2 linked regions of the Tamandua tetradactyla genome follow. The protein of the gene in region 1 purifies or fractionates together with the protein of each later gene. This does not show direct contact. Links are inferred from orthologs where the notes say so. Each region holds a gene or a part of one and is shown in the gene's direction. Other genes may lie near its edges.

Region 1 (9,015 bases):
GTTCTGAGGCTGAGAAAATGTCCCAATTAAAGCAAGTCGATAGAAATGTCCAATCTAAGGCATCCAGGGAAAGATAACTTTGGTTCAAGAAGACTGATGAGGTTCAGGGTTTCTCTCTCAAGTGAAAACGCACATGGTGAACAGTCAGGGTTTCTCTCTCATCTGGAAGGACACATGGCGAATACGGTGTCATCTGCGAGCTTTCTCTCCTGGCTTCTGTTTCATGAAGCTCCCCGGGAAGCGGTTTCCTTCTTCATCTTCAGAGGCTGCTGGCTGGTAGACTCTCTGCTTCATGGTGCTGCAGCATTCTCTGCTCTCTCTGAATCTCCTCATTCTCCAAAATGTTTCCTCTTTCATAGGATTCCGTAAATTAATCAAGACCCACCCGAATGGGTGGAGACATGTCTCCACCTTATCCAGTTTAACAACCACTCTTTTTTTTTCATTTTTTAAATTAATTTTTTTATTTAAAAAAAATACCAAAAAAACACCAAACGCAAACATTCATAATTTATCATTCCGTTCTACATATATAATCAGTAATTCACATCATCATATTATCTAAATCACAATATCACATATTCATCATCATGATCACTTCTTAGAACATTTGCATCTATTCAGGAAAGAAATTAAAAGAAAACAGAAAAAAATCCATATATACCATACCCCCCACCCCTCCCCCTCATCGATCACCAGCATTTCACTCTAAATTTATTTTAACATTTGTTCCCTCTATTATTCATCTTATTCCGTATGTTTTACTCGTCTGTTGATAAGGTAGATAAAAGGAGAATCAGACACAAGATTGTCACAATCACACAGTCACATTGTGAAAGCTATATCATTATATAATCATCTTCAAGGAACATGGCTACTGGAACACAGCTCTACATTTCCAGGCAGTTTCCTCCAGCCTCTCCACTACATCTTGACTAACAAGGTGATATCTATTTAATGCGTAAGAATAACCTCCAGGATAGCCTCTTGACTCTGTTTGGAATCTCTCAGCCATTGACACTTATTTTGTCTACTTCACTCTTCCCCCTTTTGGTCAAGAAGGTTTTCTCAATCCTTTGATGCTGAGTCTTAGCTCATTCTGGGATTTCTGTCCCACATTGCCAGGAAGGTCCATACCCCTGGGAGTCATGTCCTACGTACACGGGGAGAGTGGTGAGTTTGCTTGCTGTGTTGGCCGAGAGAGAGAGAGAGGCCACATCTGAGCAACAAAAGAGGTTCTCTTGGGGGTGACTCTTAGGCCTAAGTTTAAGTAGGCTTGACCTATCCTTTGTGGGGTTAAGTTTCATATGACCAAACCCCAAGATTGGGGGCTCAGCCTATAGCTTTGATTGTTTACACTGCTTGTGAGAATATCAAGAATTCAAGTTAGGGAAGTTGAATTTTCCCCCTTTTTCACCATTCCCCGAAGGGGACTTTGCAAATACTTTTTTATTCACTGTTCAAATCATTCTGGGATTTATCGGGACATCACTCTGGACAATCCAACAAAATCTCATGTCCTACTCAAGGTTCCATGTACTTATGGTGTTCAATTAAGCTGTCTACATAAGTTATATAAGAAAATGTACTTGTCAAAATATAAATTTTAACAACCACTCTTGACTGAGTCACATCTCCAGGGAGATGATCTAATTACAGTTTCAAACAAACAGTACTGAATAGGGATTGGAAGAAACGGCTGCCTTTACAAAATGGGATTAGGATTAAAACATGGCTTTTTAGGGTACAGACATCCTTTCAAACCAGCACAACAGGTATGGCAAAAGCCACGTCAGTAAGAACTGGTGTCAGAAAATGAGTTCCCAAGAAGTGTTGAAAGAATTCTGGCTAGGCTTAGAGTGAGATAACCTGTATTTTCATTTAGGGGTTTAGCACTTAAATGTAACCATCACCAAGTTACTTAGTTTGTTCAAGTTTCATTTTTCGTCTCCATTACCGTACAGTTTAGTGTATCGGGGAGGATCAAGTTAGTGTATTATCTATTACTTGGTAAAATAATATCACCCCCAAAACTCAGTGGCTATAAAATAATCATTTCATATCTTTCATGGTCTCTCTGCGTCTGGAATTCAGGAGCAGCTTAGCTGGGCAGTTGCAGTTCTCCTGAGGTCGTAATCAGATGCCTCTTGGGGCTGGATGATCCACTTTAAAGATCCACGTGGCTGACTGTTGGTGCTGGCTGTCGTTCCCCTCCACATGCCTCTCCATAGGGCTGTCCGGGCAATTCCTAACATGGCAGCTGGCTTCCCCCAGAGTAAATGATCCAAATTCTCAAGGCAGAAACAGCATCTTTTATGACGTAGCCTTAGAAATTGGAATCACTTCTGCCACTCAATTTCTTGGTCAGACAGAACAGCCTGTTTCCTTGTGGGAGACTATACAGGTCCATTAATACCAGGAGGCAAGGATGGTTGGGGTCCATCTTGGAAGCTGGTTACTACAGATGGGTAAAAGTGCTTTTGTAAACTGTAAAAAGCTATACGAATGCGAAGTAGTATTTTATATACATAACTACCCCATTACCCCAGAATATCATCTTGATACTTGTCATCTTACCCAAAACGTTTCCTTGTCAGCAGCAGGTATGATACAGTGGTTATCAATTCATGTGCACTGCACACTTGGAATCTCTAGCTTCACAAGCGTACCATTACTAAAGGTGAGGTTGGATTAGTATTACAGTGATGTCTGTCATTAGAAACTGTTACCTGAGTCTGCAACATGATACATCACTGGGATAAGTTGCCACAATTAAAAGATATAGTACTGTTAACGATGATGTGTTTTCTGTACTGTATTAGAATTTTGCCTGCAGGCTCATCAGCGCGCAGTAAAAACCCAAGTAGTGACAAAGGGCTGAAAGGTGACCAATAAAAATGATTAACAAACTGAGCACTTAGCTATCACACCATATTCTTAGGGCTTTACAAGTGCAAACTCATTTAAACTTCGCATCATCCCTATTACAGAATAGGAAACAAGCACAGAAGTCATACTTGTGCCCAAGTCGTACTACTAGTGACTGAATGCTAATGGTGCCAGTATTAAAATGCAGGTTCCAGAGCAAGAATCCAACCTCTACACTACCTTAACTATGACTGGCCTTGCTAATTGCCCTGCATTTCCTACACATATCTCTGAAAATAAGGATTCTGAATTCTTAGAAACACCCATTGCAAAGAAAGGGAGGAAATATCATTTCTTTCTTCCAGCTGCTTAAGTCCCAAAGCTGGAAATATCCATTTTTTTCACAATCCATATCCATACTACGAGCAAATCCTATTGGCTAGAAGCCTAACTGGCAAGTTATCCCAGTGATACATCATGTTGCATAACCAATTTAATACAAGCCTTATGGATTATTGTAATAATCCTATTAACAGGTCTTCTTGTTTCTCTTCTTGCCTAAGTCTATAATGTCGCCTCTCACAAAAGCCAGTGTACCTGTTAAAACATAGTCAAATCATATCATTTTTCTGATAAAACCCTCCAATGGCCTTTCAGTGATGTTTTCCCTGGATTATCCTATCTAAAATTTCACCCACTTCCCCCACCCTCTTTCCTGTTATATTATCTCCGTAGGACTTTTCACTATATATCATAACATTTTATTATTCGCTTGTTTTATTGGAAAGCAGGGCTTTTTATCCGTTTTATTCCCTTCTGGCTTTTTACTCTATAGCTGTGCCTGGTACATAAAAAAACATATATTCATTAAATTAATGGGTTCAGTTTATTTTGTTGATTACAATGAAAATTTATGAGAATCAAGAGGTTCGGTACTGATCACAACCAACCCTTATTGATCACAGCAAGCGATCAATAACTTTGCACCTCAATTCTGACAACCTTGTGTTTAGTCTGTCGTTTCCATCTTACTGCGTAGAAAACCGAGGAGCAGAGAGAAAGAAAACGAGCAAATAATAAAATGTTATGATATATAGTGAAAAGTCCTACGGAGATAATATAACAGGAAGGAGGGTGGGGGAAGTGGGTGAAATTTTAGATAGGATAATCCAGGGAAACCATCACTGAAAGGCCATTGGAGGGTTTTGATCAGAAAAATGATACGATTTGACTTATGTTTTAACAGGTACACTAGTTTAAGCTGCGCTGGGTTTTGTTTCCCTGGGCCTGCTTTTCCCCAAGGACTCTGGACGAAGACTGCCTCTTCCCCAGCCTTAAACTTTGGACCTAAGAACCGTAAGGTCGCGAGGCGCCGCGTCCGTAGCAACCGCGGCGTTAGGACGCGCGCAAGGGCCAGAACAGGAGATGAGGAGCAAGGCCAAGCCTTGCACACTCACAACCCTACCAGGTCGCACACTCAGAACACCACGTAAGAACGCCGACCAGCCGCAGCAGCCAAGAAACAACGCACGTTAGGGCCGTGACACGAGGACGCAAACCGTGGCCCCGCACCGCGTGCCCAGGAGCAGAGCGCGGACACCCGGCGCGGGACGGGGCGGGGGCGGGGGCGGGGTGGGTTAGCCGGGACGGCCCAGCACGGAAGTGAGGGCGGAGCCTCGGGGGCGGCAGTGGCGGGGGCGGGGCGGGTTCGCCGGGGCGGCCCAGCACGGAAGTGAGGGCGGAGCCACGGGGGGACGGGGGCGGGGGCGGGGCGGGCTCGCCGGGACGGCCCAGCACGGAAGTGAGGGCGGAGCCTCGGGGGCGGCGGGGGCGGGGGCGGGGCGGGTTCGCCGGGGCGGCCCAGCACGGAAGTGAGGGCGGAGCCACGGGGGGCGGGGGCGGGGCGGGCTCGCCGGGACGGCCCAGCACGGAAGTGAGGGCGGAGCCTCGGGGGCGGCAGTGGCGGGGGCGGGGCGGGTTCGCCGGGGCGGCCCAGCACGGAAGTGAGGGCGGAGCCTCGGGGGCGGCGGGGGCGGGGGCGGGGCGGGTTCGCCGGGGCGGCCCAGCACGGAAGTGAGGGCGGAGCCACGGGGGGCGGGGGCGGGGCGGGTTCGCCGGGGCGGCCCAGCACGGAAGTGAGGGCGGAGCCACGGGGGGCGGGGGCGGGGCGGGCTCGCCGGGACGGCCCAGCACGGAAGTGAGGGCGGAGCCACGGGCGCGACCCCGCCCCGCCGGCGGAAGTGACCGCGCGGCGCTTGAAGGAGCTTTAAATTCCCGGTCTTGGGAGGGCGACCCTTTCGGCCGAGTCGGACTTGGCGGGCCCGATGGCTTTGGACGTGAAGTCGCGAGCAAAGCGTTATGAGAAGCTGGACTTCCTCGGGGAGGGACAGGTGAGGCTCTCGGGCCGAGACGGGGAGGGCCCAGAGCGGCCAGCGTCGCGCCGCCTCGCCCTGAGGGGAGCGCGCTGGACCCCGGAGGCCGCCCGCGCGCACCTGCGGCCCCCTGTGCACCTCGGCGGTGAGCCCCGGGCGGGGCGGGACGTGGCGTGTCTGACCACGTTGCAAGTCGCCGCGAGCCCACTCCCAAAACTTGGTGTCTTTGCCTCCCAAGATGTAAAAAGAAGTAAAAAAGAAATACAAAAAAGCCCCCCCAAACTCACGTTATTCCTGTTTCCCTGTCTAGTTTGCCACGGTGTACAAGGCCAGAGACAAAAACACCAACCAGATTGTCGCCATTAAAAAAGTGAGTTTCAGCTTTTGTCGTTTTCTCAAGTCCCGTGAAGGGATGTGTGTGTGTGTGTGTGTGTGTGTGTGTTGCACTGACGTGACCGTTTCGGTTCTCTTGCCTGTCCCTGCGTGTGCGTGTGTGTGTGAGATGCACTGACGGGTGTGTGTGTGTGTGTGTGTGAGATGCACTGATGGGTGTGTGAGTGAGTGTGAGATGCACTGACGGGTGACCGTTTCGGTTCTCTTGCCTGCCCCTGCGTGTGTGTGTGTGTGGGTGGGTGGGTGTGAGTGTGAGATGCACTGACGGCTGTGTGTGTGTGTGAGTGTGCGATGCACTGACGGCTCTGTGTGTGTGTGTGTGTGAGATGCACTGACGGATGTGTGTGTGTGAGTGTGAATGCACTGACGGGTGTGTGCGTGTGTGTGTGTGTGAGATGCACTGATGGGTGACCGTTTCGGTTCTCTGGCCTGCCCCTGCGTGTGTGTGTGTGTGTGTGCTGCACTGACGGGTGACCGTTTCGGTTCTCTTGCCTGTCCCTGCGTGTGCGTGTGAGATTCACTGACGGGTTTGTGTGTGTGTGTGAGATGCACTGACGGGTGTGTGTGCGAGTGTGAGATGCACTGACGGGTGTGTGTGTGAGTGTGAGATGCACTGACGGGTGTGTGTGTGTGAGTGTGAGATGCACTGACGGGTGACCGTTTCGGTTCTCTGGCCTGCCCCTGCGTGTGTGTGTGTGTGTGGGTGTGAGTATGAGATGCACTGACGGCTGTGTGTGTGGGTGGGTGTGTGGGTGTGAGTGTGAGATGCACTGACGGCTGTGTGTGTGTGTGTGAGTGTGAGATGCACTGACTGATGTGTGTGTGTGTGAGTGTGAGATGCACTGACTGATGTGTGTGTGTGTGAGTGTGAGATGCACTGACTGATGTGTGGGTGTGGGTGTGAGTGTGAGATGCACTGACGGCTCTGTGTGTGTGTGTGTGAGAGATGCACTGACGGCTCTGTGTGTGTGTGTGTGAGATGCACTGATGGGTGACCGTTTCGGTTCTCTGGCCTGCCTCTGCGTGTGTGTGTGTGTGTGTGTGTGTGTGTTGCACTGACGGGTGACCGTTTCGGTTCTCTTGCCTGCCCCTGCGTGTGTGTGTGGGTGTGTAAGATGCACTGACGGCTGTGTGTGTGTGTGTGTGTGTGTGAGATGCACTGACGGGTGTGTGTGTGTGTGAGTGTGAGATGCACTGATGGGTGACCGTTTCGGGTCTCTGGCCTGCCCCTGCGTGTGTGTGTGTGTGTGTGTGCGTGTGTGTGTTGCACTGACGGGTGACCGTTTCGGTTCTCTTGCCTGTCCCTGCATGTGGGTGTGTGGGTGTGAGTATGAGATGCACTGACGGCTGTGTGTGTGTGTGAGTGTGAGATGCACTGACGGGTGTGTGTGTGAGTGTGAGATGCACTGACGGGTGACCGTTTCGGTTCTCTGGCCTGCCCCTGCGTGTGTGTGTGTGTGTGTGTGAGTATGAGATGCACTGACGGCTGTGTGTGTGTGTGTGTGAGTGTGAGATGCACTGACGGCTGTGTGTGGGTCTGTGGGTGTGAGTGTGAGATGCACTGACGGCTGTGTGTGTGTGTGAGTGTGAGATGCACTGACTGATGTGTGTGTGGGTGTGGGTGTGAGTGTGAGTGTGAGATGCACTGACGGGTGTGTGTGTGAGTGTGAGATGCACTGACGGCTGTGTGTGTGTGTGAGTGTGAGATGCACTGACGGGTGACCGTTTCGGTTCTCTGGCCTGCCCCTGCTCGTGAGGAGGGTTTCTGCGGGTTCCCGGAGCAGCTCTGTGGTGAACCGTGTTTGGTTCCGGTCCGTGAAGATGGAAGGGGACGCCGCGTGGCGCGTTTGCCGCGCGGGTTCGGGCTTGGGCGAAGCGGGCCGGCTCGGGCTGAGCCCACGGGCGTCTGGCGCGCTCGCGCGGTGCGTTGTAGTGCAGCTGCCTGCGTAGCCCCTGGAAATGGCCTTGGGCTGGTTCCGGCGGCGTCTGCCGTGATGTGCTGACCTGTCGTGTGCCAGGCACGTCGGGTGACCCTCAGAACGGCCGTGGGAGGTCGTTGAAGCGCTCACCTTTGATTTTGCAGTAGGGGTCGTTGAAGCCGACAGTTGCGGTGTCTCGTCGAGTTTGTGCAGCCGGTTGCCGAGGTCGGGACTGGTTAAAGCGGGGACTTGACTCACATGGCCCGGGCGGGCCGCGGTGGCTCAGCGCCGGTTCCCGCAGGCCCTGCGCGGGCGCGGGTCCGGTTCCCGGGGGAAGAAACCGACGTCGCGGTGCAGGTCCCTTGTCTCCAGTGCTGCCGAGATCTGTCACCGTCTGGAGGGGGGCCGCCCCTGGGGGTGGTTCCCGCTGCTGCTTTGAGTCTTTCTCCTCCTTCAGAAACCGTTGCTTCTCGTCTACGTCCACCGTCGTCTTACACCCGCTGCCGCTTGTTTGTGTCACTTACCAGCCTCCGGCGACTTAACCAGTGGCCCACCTCTTGTCCCCAGCTTTACTCCTGCCGTCATAGTCACCTGTACTTTTCCTCGTTACCCAGTTCGCATTTCGTGATCCAGCTTCATAGCCAGTCTCTGGCAAAACGCCTTCACTCTCCAACCCTTTCTATTCCCTTTTTCCAGGTCTGTCCCTGGTTCACTCGAATGTAGCCGCAGTGCCCTTTCTGTCCCTTGCACACTTAGATTCATTGCAGGGTTGTTGCCTTCTGGTGGGTGTTTCTTCCCTTGGAACTCGGCGTGGGCGGATGCTTATCATTCACGACACATCGAAATCTCTTCCCGTGCGCTTCAGCCACAAGGAGGACAGCCCCTTCCTTCCCTATGGCTCTTGCTGTATTTCCCGTCATTTTTATTCACATTTATCAGAATTTGAAAACCTCTGATTTAGGAATTTGTCTGTTTCCTTCCACTTGCATTACACCTCGGACTGTGACTTGTGCCTTTGTATGCACTTGGTACCTGATAAAAGCTCTGCACACTGTTGGAACATTGAGTTCTGTAGTTGTCTGAAAGCCCTGGGTTTTTTGTTTTTAACTTTTTTTCTTACTGTGAAATATAACATATATACAGAAAAGCTATATATTTCGAAGTACGTTTTAATAAGTAGTTATAGAACAGATTTTAAAGTTTGGTATGATTTACAGTTCCACAGTTTTTCATTTTTTTCTGCTAGCTGTTCTCAGACACTGGAGACCAACAGAAATATCAATATAATGATTCAGCAGTTGTACTCATTTGTTAAATCCCATCTTCTCTGTTATACTTCTCCTTCTCTCTTTTTTTGTGAAAAATAACATAACAGCAGTAAATTTCAAAGTACATCACAACAATTAGTTGTAGAACGGATTTCAGAGTTTGGTATGGGTTACAATTCCATAATTCTGGAGGTT
Region 2 (9,620 bases), on another chromosome or scaffold:
TATTTATTTTTATTCCATATGTTCTACACCTTTGTTAACAAGGTAGATAAAAGGAGCATCAGACACAGGTTTTCACAATCACACGGTCACATTGTGAAAGCTATATCATTATACAATCATCATCAAGAAACATGGCTACTGGAACACAGCTCTACATTTTCAGGCAGTTCCCTCCAGCCTCTTCATTACATCTTGGATAACAAAATGATATCTACTTAATACATAAGAATAGCCTCCAGGATAACCTCTCGACTCTGGAATCTCTCAGCCATTGACACTTTGTCTCATTTCACTCTTCTCCCTTTTGGTCAGGAAGGTTTTCTCAATCCCTTGATGCCGGGTCTTAGCTCATTCTAGAGTTTTTCTCTATCGCTTGATGCTGAGTCTCAGCTCATTCCAGGATCTCTGTCCCACGTTGCCAGGAAGATACACACCCCTGGAAGTCATGTCGCACATAGACAGGGGGAGGGTGGTGAGTTTGCTTGTTGTGTTGGCTGGAGAGAGGGGCCACATCTGAGCAACAAAAGAGGTTCTCTTGGGGGTGACTCTTAGTCCTAATTTTAAGTAGGCTTGACCTATCCTTTGTGGGGTTAAGTTTTATATGAACAAATCCCAAGACTGGGGGCTCAGCCTATAGCTTTGGTTGTCCACACTGCTTGTGAGAATATCAAGAATTCAACTTGGGGAAGTTGAGTTTTCCCCCGTTCTCACCATTCCCCGAAGGGGACTTTGCAAATACTTTTCCACTCACTGATCAAATCACTCTGGGATTCATTGGGGCATCACCTGGACAAACCAACAAAATCTCCATGTCCTACCCAAGGTTCCATGTGCTTATGTTGTTCAACCAACTATCTACATCAGTTATATTAGGAGATGCACTAGTCAAAACATAAATTTTGTATCAAATAAATATTTTTTGCTTTAGTCTCACACATAAGTTGAAATTTTAAAATATTAACTGCCATCTATTTTCAGCACCCTGCAGTAATGACATTCTTTTGTTCTTCCTCATGCAAAAACATTTTTTAAATTTGTACATTTAGTCACTATCATTATACACTCTAGGCATTCCTAGATTATACCATCTCAATCTTTATCAGCTGTCTTTCTTTCTGATTTCATTTATGTCCCCAGCCCTCCTCCCTCTATCATTCTCACATTCAGCTTTACTCAGTGTTTTAACATTATTACAGTTAGGTAGTATTGTGCTGTCCATTTTTGAGTTTTTATATTCAGTCCTGTTGTACAATCTGTATCCCTTCAGCTCCAATTACCCAATATCTTACCCTATTTCTATCTCCTGAAGGTCTCTGTTACCAATAAAATATTCCAAGTTTATTCACTAATGTCAGTTCATATCAGTGAGACCATACAGTATTTGTCCTTTTGTTTTGGCTAATCACACTCAGCATAATGTCCTTAAGGTCCATCCATGTTGTTACATACTTCATAAGTTTATTCTGTCTTACAGCTGCATAATATTCCATCTTATGTATAGGCTACGGTTTGTTTAGCCACCCATCTGTTGATGGACATTTTGACTGTTTCCATCTCTTGGTAATTGTAAATAATGCTGCTATAAACATTGGTGTGCAAATGTCCATTTGTGTGCTTGCCCTCATGTCTTTTGAGTAGAGACAGCATATAGATGGGTCCTGTTTTTTATCCATTCTGCCAGACTATGTCTTTTGATTGGGGAGTTTAGTCCATTAACATTCAGTGTTATTACTGCATGGGTAGTACTTTCTTCTACTATTTTGCTTTCTGGATTTTATATGTTATATCTAATTTTCCTTCTTTTTATCTTTACTCATAGTCTTCCTTTCTGCACTCTTCTCCACACCTCTTTCTTCTGTCTTCGTATCTGTCTCTAGTGCTCCCTTTAGTATTTCTTGCAGAGCTGGTCTCTTGGTCACAAATTCTCTCAGTGATTTTTTGCCTGAAAATGTTTTAATTTCTCCCTCATTTTTGAAGGACAGTTTTGCTGGGTATAGAATTCTTGGTTGACAGTTTTTCTCTTTTAAAAATTTAAATATATCATCCGACTGTCTTCTTGCCTCCATGGTTTCTGCTGAGAGATCTATACATAGTCTTATTGGGCTTCCCTTGTACGTGATGGATTGCTTTTCTCTTGCTGCTTTCAAGATTCGCTCCTTCTCTATGACTTCTGACATTCTGGTCAGTAAATGTCTTGGAGTACGTCTATTTGGATCTATTCTCTTTGGGGTATGCTGCACTTCTTGGATCTGTAATTTTAAGTCTTTCGTAAGGGTTGGGACATTTTCAGTGATAATTTCCTCCATTAGTTTTTCTCCTTCTTTCCCCTTCTCTTCTCCTTCTGGGATACCCACAACACGTATATTCATGTGCTTCATATTGTCTTTCAGTTCCCTGAGTCCCTGCTCATATTTTTCCATTTTTCACCATATTTTCTTTTTCTTGCCAGATTTCAGATGTTCTGTCTTCCAGTTCACTAATCCTATGTTCTGTCTCTCAAAATCTACCATTGTAGGTTTCCATCGTTTTTTTCATCTCTTCTTCTGTGCCTTTCATTCCCATAAGTTCTGTGATTTGTTTTTTCAGACTCTCGATTTCTTCTTTTTGTTCATTCCTTGCCTTCTTTATATCCTCCCTCAATTCATTGATTTGGTTTTTGATGAGGTTTTCTATGTCTGTTTGTATATTCTGAATTAATTGTTTCAGCTTCTGTATCTCATTTGAATTGTTGGTTTGTTCCTTTGACTGGGCCATATCTTCACTTTTCCTAGTGTGATTTGTTATTTTTTGCTGGTGTCTAGGCATTTAATTACCTTAATTAGTTTATTCTGGAGATTGCTTTCACTTCTTTACCTAAAGTTTTCTTGCTGGATGAATTTGTTGTCTATCTGTTCTTTGACATTCAGTTCAGCTTTATCTGGACCTCTAGCTTAAGTTTTGTTTAACAGAGGAGAATTTTTAAGCTCTTGTTTTCTTGTTTCTTGCCCTGCTTGTATGGTGCCTCCCCCACACTTAGGAGGGTCTACTTAGGTATTATAGACCCCAGCTGGATTTTCCCAGATCAAACTGGCCTCCTATCAGGAGGAAAGAGTCACCTGCATCAGTTTTCCCTGAGGGTGAGACCCAGCAGGTTGAAAGACTTTCCTGTGAAGTCTCTGGGCTCTGTTTTTCTTATCCTGCCCGGTATGTGGCGCTTGTCTGCCTGCAGGTCCCAACAGCATAAGATGATGTGGTACCTTTAACTTTGGCAGACTCTCCCTGCTGGGGGCATGGTGGGGACACAGGAGAGGTTGTAGGCTGATTTTAATGGCTTCAAATTACCAAGCCCTAGTGTTTGAATTCCTTGAGGGAGGGATTCCACCTGAGTTAGCTTCACCCCTCCCCTGGGGAAGGTACAGGCTCCAGACAAGCTGTCAAACGAGCTTGTTTCTGCTTATGCCTGAGGCAGTTGCAGCCTGATAAGCCCTGCCGCTGTATTCAAAGGCAGTCAAGCCTTTGTAGAAACAAAGCCACAAAAACCTCTGTTTCCTTTTTTCCTCCCTTTTTTTCTTTTTCCATCAGTGCTGCCCCCTTGGCGCCAGGGCAAAAATGAGAGACCTCCGCTTTGACCAGGTTCACCTGAGCTGGGGGCCTATTTTCAGTAGTCAGAATTTGTTAATTAATTCCACAATTGGCGTTTGGTTGGGCTCAGCCCCTGTTTCTGGTCAAGTCCCTTTCCTTTCCCCTCTGGGAAGCAGCCTGTGGGGGAGAGGCACCGGCCGCCATGGCTTGGGGAACTCACGGTTCTGGGGGGGGCTCACAGCCGGCCCAGCTGGTCCAGACTGGGGTACGCTGTGTGTCCGGTCACTGATGTGGCCCCAGGAGCTGTTCTGTACTGTTTCTGGTTATTTAGTAGTTGCTCTGGAGGACGAACTATAACGTGCACATTGTTAAGCCACCATCTTGGCCTGGAAGTCCCACCTTGTCCTTTTAATACATGAAACCACAAGGAACAGCTCTGTGTAGGCAATTGTTCCTATTCAGTGTTCCCCTTGGTTAAAGTTCTCAGTTCTCAGCTTTGGGGTCATGTCACCGATCTTATTAACCGGCTCAAACCCCAGTCCTCTAACTATTATTATGAGTTCTACTGGCTCCTTAGAACCCACTTCGAGAAACTTTACCTTACTTTGAAACTATATTTTCATTCATGTGTTTGTATGATGTTTTGGTTTGCTAAAGCTGCCATTTCTGCAAAATGCCAGAAATGGATTGGCTTTTATAAAGGTGATTTATTAAATTTCGAGTTACAATTCTAAGGCCATGAAAATGTCCAAATTAAGGCACCAACAAGAGGATACCTTCTTGGAGGAGAGGCAGCTGGCATCTGACCTGTCACATAGGAAGGTATATGGCAACATCTGCTGTCCTTCTCTTCGGGCTTCTGGTTTCAAATGGGTCTCTCAGCTTCTGGTGTCTCCTGGGGTGTTTTCCTTCTATTTCTCCAAATATCTGTGTGTTCTCCAAACGTCCCTCTCTTAAAGGACTCCAGTAAGCGGATTAAGACCCACTTTGAATGAGCAGGACCACATCTTCATGGGAACAATCCGATCAAAAGGTCCCACCTAACAATAGATCTGCCCCCACAAGTTTGGATTAGAAGACCGTGTCTTTTCTGGGGTTCATAACGGTTTCAAACCAGGACATATGACATTAACCATTAATGTCATTTGTTAGGGTATCCTTATTCTCACTTTAGAAGTAAACAAACCAAGTTCTTAGAGGAGAACCTGCCCAGTCAGATCAGGTATCACTCCCACCCCATCCCAGTCCTTTGCCCTCAGGATCGTCACTGCCTGGGAATGAGTCTGTCTTCCACACTGGACTGTGAGCCTGGGGCTCTTCGGTCCCTGCTATGTCCTCAGTATCCTCCAGCACGGGGGTAGGGAGGCACAGAGGAGAGGCTCAGGGAGCATGTGTTGATTGAATGAATGAATGAAATGAGGTGATTATTAAGGAAACAGCAACCTTGGTGGGGCCCGCTTTCTCCAGCCTCTGTCTCTCCTGATGAACCTTGTGGTTGTGCCAATGAGACCCCTTTCTCTAATCCTTGCTAAATAGGGAACTGGGGACCTACCCCTCTTCTCTGCCTGAATCAGCTCCAGGAACTCTCATTTCTCCTGTTATAAGCCCTTATGATTTCCTGAATTTTCCTTCATACTTCTTGTCACACTTGTAATCATATATTTATTTGTATGTTTAATATCTGTTCTTTGAGGACAGAAACAGGGGCGTTTTGGGGGTACCTCTGTGTTCTCAGAGTTCAGCACAGGATCTCAGCTCCCATAATGGTTTCTTGAATGGACAAATAAAAGCTAACATTTATTGAATGCTTAGTATGTGCAAAGCCCCATTTTAACGGCTTTATGTGGGTTAATTTAAAGGTCACCTATGTGGTAGATATTCTAATTGTTCCCAGTTTACAATGAGAAAAATAAACCACAGAGAGGTCAAGTAATTTGATCAAGGTCACACAGCTAGCAGATAGCAGAACCAGGATTTGGACCCAGGAGTTCTGGCTCCAGAGACCCACTTTAGCCACAAACTATACTGCTTTTCCATTATTGACTGAATAAAAACACCTAGCTCAGTCTCTGGAGAACAGTAGGCGCTCAATAAATGGGAAGTTATTTATTCCACAGGGGACAAGGACACAGCAGACACTTTATAAATGATACTTATTTCGTGCGGTGAAGCCATTGCGACCTCGCGGGCCCCGGAGGGATTTCCAATTTCACTGTCATTCTCCCGCAGACTCTACTCGCTGTTGGGATAATCAGGGCAGAAGTAGGAAGAACGAAGCCAACTGAATGGGATCGATCCTCTCGGGACTCCTCCTTCCGCGTTTTGTTTTTTGTCTTCGGCGATCCTCAGCGATGCCTGGGAAACCACCTCCCGCCTCAGAGCGGCCCCCCGAAGTGCGCATGCGCATTACCCTCCTGGCGGAGTGGCGTGCGGCATCAGCCAATGCGCTGTGCGGAAGGTGGAGCGGGACCGCTAAGGCGCCCCAGGGACCTTCCCTTCACTGAATATTAATGAAGGAGGCGTGTCGACGACTTTGCAAACCGGAGTCGGCGCCATGAAGTGAGATGGGGGCTGGGGGTCGCGGCGCGTGACGGGCTCCAGGGCTTGAAGTTGGGAGTACCGGTGGGGGTACCGGTGGGCACCCCTGGGCCCCGGTGGAGCGAGGGGGAGGCCGAAGCGGTGGGGTGGGGGTAGCGGCGGGAACCGTCGGGGTGGTGACGGGGATGGCCCGCGAGGAGACGCCGAGGGGCCCCGGAGGCTCCTGTGGAAGTGGACGACGGGGGAGTGTGGGGGCTGGAGGGAGGGCCGGGGGGCCGGGGGCCTGACCCCGCAGCCCTTGCTGTCAGGCTCAACGTGGACGGGCTGCTGGTCTACTTCCCTTACGACTACATATACCCGGAGCAGTTCTCTTACATGCTGGAGCTGAAACGCACGCTGGACGCCAAGGTGTGTGGGCCCGGCCGGCCGATGCCTTTTTGACTGAGATTACGGGACGTCTAGACCAGGAAAACCCCAAAGTTTTCGATATCTGAGGTTCTGGGGAATCAGGACTCTAAAGCCAGCCTCCCAGGCATCTAAACTAATAAGAGCTGGTAATAGCAGCAGCTAACATCAAAGGCTAAACGTCTCCAGCGGTTAGGAATAAATGGACTTTTGAAGTCTGCTGTCTGGATTGGAATCCAGGACTCACAGTCCACCGGCTGTGTGCCCTCAGGCTAGTCACTTAACTTCCCTGTTCCACTGTATCCTCCCCTGTCAGATACCTCATGGGTTGTTGTGATGGTTAAATGAGTTAATAAACAAAAGACAGTGGTTCACAACCAAGGGCAGTTTGCCTCTCTCCTCCTAGGGGACACTTGGTAACGTCTCGTGACATTTCTGGTTGTCACATAGTGGAGGGGCATGTGTGTTACTGGCATCTAGTGGGTAGAGACCAGGGATGTCGCTAAACATCCTAAAATGTGCCTGATAGCAATAGTGACCAAGACTTATCGGGTCCAAAATGTTGACAGTACAAAGGTTGAGAAACTTGGTTGTAAGGAACCATGCCAGACTGTGGAAGCATTTGTAAATTCAGAGAAAAAGGAGGCTCACCCTCTATCAGATATTGTGCTAAAAATTTAACCCATAGATTTTCACGATCTTCTCAGTCATGCTATGAGGAAGGTTTTAGTAGTAGACCCATTTAGAGAAGAGGATATTGATGCCCAGAGAGGTGAAGATACTTGCCTAAAACAATTCAACAAGCAGGTGGCAGAAGTGGGGTTCAAGCCCATTGCCCCTGGGGACCAAACTTTTAACTGCTATGCTGACCTGCAGCTATTCTGGGAGGGTGGTGGCACCCCAAAAGTTGGGTCCCTGAGATTCTGAGAGCCCATGTGTTATTCCTTCCACCCTCAACTTCAGGGTCATGGCGTCCTGGAGATGCCATCAGGCACTGGGAAGACAGTATCCCTGTTAGCCCTGATCATCGCATACCAGCGGGTGAGTGACTCTCTGGGCCCAGGGAAGGGGTGGGGGAGAGGCCATTCGGGGCTGAGGCCACTTGTCATTGGCAGGCATACCCGCTGGAGGTGACCAAACTCATCTACTGCTCGAGGACCGTGCCTGAGATTGAGAAGGTGAGCTGGGGCCTGTCCCAGGGCCCCCTCCTCTACTCCCGGGACTCCCTTGGTCACCAGCCTTGGGGGATTTGGGGGGCTGGGGAAGGAGCTGGGGTCTGGCTATTTAGGCGCTTGTGCTTTCACTGAGGCTGAGTTTTCCTGGCTGAGCAGGTAATCGAAGAGCTGCGTAAACTGCTCAACTTCTATGAGAAGCAGGAGGGCGAGAAGCTGCCATTCTTGGGACTAGCTCTGAGCTCCCGCAAGAACCTGTGTATTCACCCTGAGGTGAGTGTCTGTTCCCCTCTTTTCCCTAAGCCTGGGCTTGGGGCAACTCCTCTTTCCAGCCAGTAGTCCTAGATCCCCAGACCAGATTCCTCAGGTAGGTATGTGGGTCCCCTGCATGGAATCCCTTTGTCACTTGTCAAATGTGAGCTCATTGTTCATGGCCTAGACCAGCAGGGAGCCTTCCCACCTTCTCCCAGTCAGGAGAGGTTAAAAAGGCATCTCCTGGAGGCTGGCAGACCTCATTTCCTAAGCCCTGAAATTTAGTAGTTTTATCCTCTTGTACAAGTGATTTCTACCCTTGGGCCTCAGTTTTCACTTCTGTAAAATGGAAATAATTAAGTACCTGCCTCATTTGATGGTTGATAACACTGGGCAAGATGATACATATAAAGCCCTTAGAATGTACAGAAAGGTAAAAGAATGTTTGAAACTATCATAGTATTTATATCATGGTGATAGCTGACATAAGGTTATTTCGACAACCATTGTGGTCATCATATGCCAGGTCTTGTTCCAAGTCGTTACAAGACATTATTTGTAAGAATATGCAACAAACAATACATATGATGAATGATCATTTAAGAGAAGTAGTCCAGGCATAAGAATGATGAGATGGGAAAGGGAAGGAAGGGGTCAGTGATCTTGGAGTCTTCCCCTTTGATGAATGAAAAGATTTTGTTATTCTGGAAGGAAGCCCGGGGTTGTTAAGGTGCCCCTGACAGAGTCATGGAGAGTTCAGGGCTGTGCAGGGGCAAAGGGGTTCGTAGTCGGGATGCTCAGTCCTTCCCTGCTTCTGCAGACTTGCTAAGGTTCAGGGTTTATAGGTGTTTCAAAGGATAAACAGTTGTAAAGTTCTAAGTTTTTGATGTTCTCCTCAATGTCTACCCCTTAGATTTGTCAAGTCTTTAATGTTTTAAAAATAAGTGTTAAGAGTCTAAAAGCATTACCTGTTAAGAGTAAATAGTTACTTGTTTAGTCTTGACTGTTTAATAGAAAACAGTTTGATGTGTGAGTTTTCCAAAGAACTAGCTAGAGTCTCTGGCTGGTTGGAGGTGGGAGTGGGCCACTCAGCCTGTCCCCCGCACCCTCAGGTGACGCCCCTGCGCTTTGGGAAGGACGTCGATGGAAAGTGCCACAGCCTGACGGCCTCTTACATTCGGGCACAGCATGAACAGAACCCCAGCCTACCCCACTGCCGCTTTTATGAGGTACCCTAGAGGCGAGGGCATGGGGTGGACCCCTTGGGCAGATGGCCACCCTTACCCCAGAGACCCTCTCGCCTCACCTCAGGAATTTGATGCTCATGGACGCCAGGTGCCCCTCTCTGCTGGCATCTACAACCTGGATGACCTGAAGGCCCTGGGGCAGCGCCAAGGATGGTGCCCCTACTTCCTGGCCCGCTACTCGGTGAGGAGCTGGGGGCCAGGGGACCACGTGGTTGAAGGCTGCCTCCCTGTCCCTCCTGCCTCTTGTCTCCATCTCTACCTGCTTGTGTGTGTCTTTCTGTCTTCTGCCTGAGTCTGTCCTTCTCTATACCCATGTCTGTGACCATCTGTCTGTCTGCTATGAGCATCTGTCTGCCTGGGTCAGTTGGTCTGTCTGTGTCTTGTCTGCTTGTGAGTGTGCCTCTCTGTCTATGTTTGTGTCTGTCTGCTTTTCTGCATGCTGCCA

Evidence for each region.
Region 2: the proteins of CDK7 (region 1) and ERCC2 purify together in Homo sapiens (affinity purification with mass spectrometry; 10 studies listed by BioGRID and IntAct, counting the BioPlex papers as one, with this or other methods). This does not show direct contact. The link is inferred for Tamandua tetradactyla from reciprocal best matches to the Homo sapiens genes CDK7 and ERCC2.

Annotation. Positions count from the first base shown.
Region 1 is NC_135335.1:117,429,979-117,438,993, forward strand, and holds the start of CDK7 (cyclin-dependent kinase 7), read left to right. Parts: upstream 1-5,071; 5' UTR 5,072-5,192; coding exon 5,193-5,258; intron 5,259-5,550; coding exon 5,551-5,610; intron 5,611-9,015. UniProt on the Homo sapiens protein: Serine/threonine kinase involved in cell cycle control and in RNA polymerase II-mediated RNA transcription. Cyclin-dependent kinases (CDKs) are activated by the binding to a cyclin and mediate the progression through the cell cycle.
Region 2 is NC_135342.1:15,624,794-15,634,413, forward strand, and holds the start of ERCC2 (general transcription and DNA repair factor IIH helicase subunit XPD), read left to right. Parts: upstream 1-5,987; 5' UTR 5,988-6,115; coding exon 6,116-6,120; exon of another isoform or gene 6,121-6,195; intron 6,196-6,407; coding exon 6,408-6,507; intron 6,508-7,467; coding exon 7,468-7,545; intron 7,546-7,619; coding exon 7,620-7,682; intron 7,683-7,835; coding exon 7,836-7,949; intron 7,950-9,040; coding exon 9,041-9,157; intron 9,158-9,239; coding exon 9,240-9,356; intron 9,357-9,620. UniProt on the Homo sapiens protein: ATP-dependent 5'-3' DNA helicase. Component of the general transcription and DNA repair factor IIH (TFIIH) core complex, not absolutely essential for minimal transcription in vitro.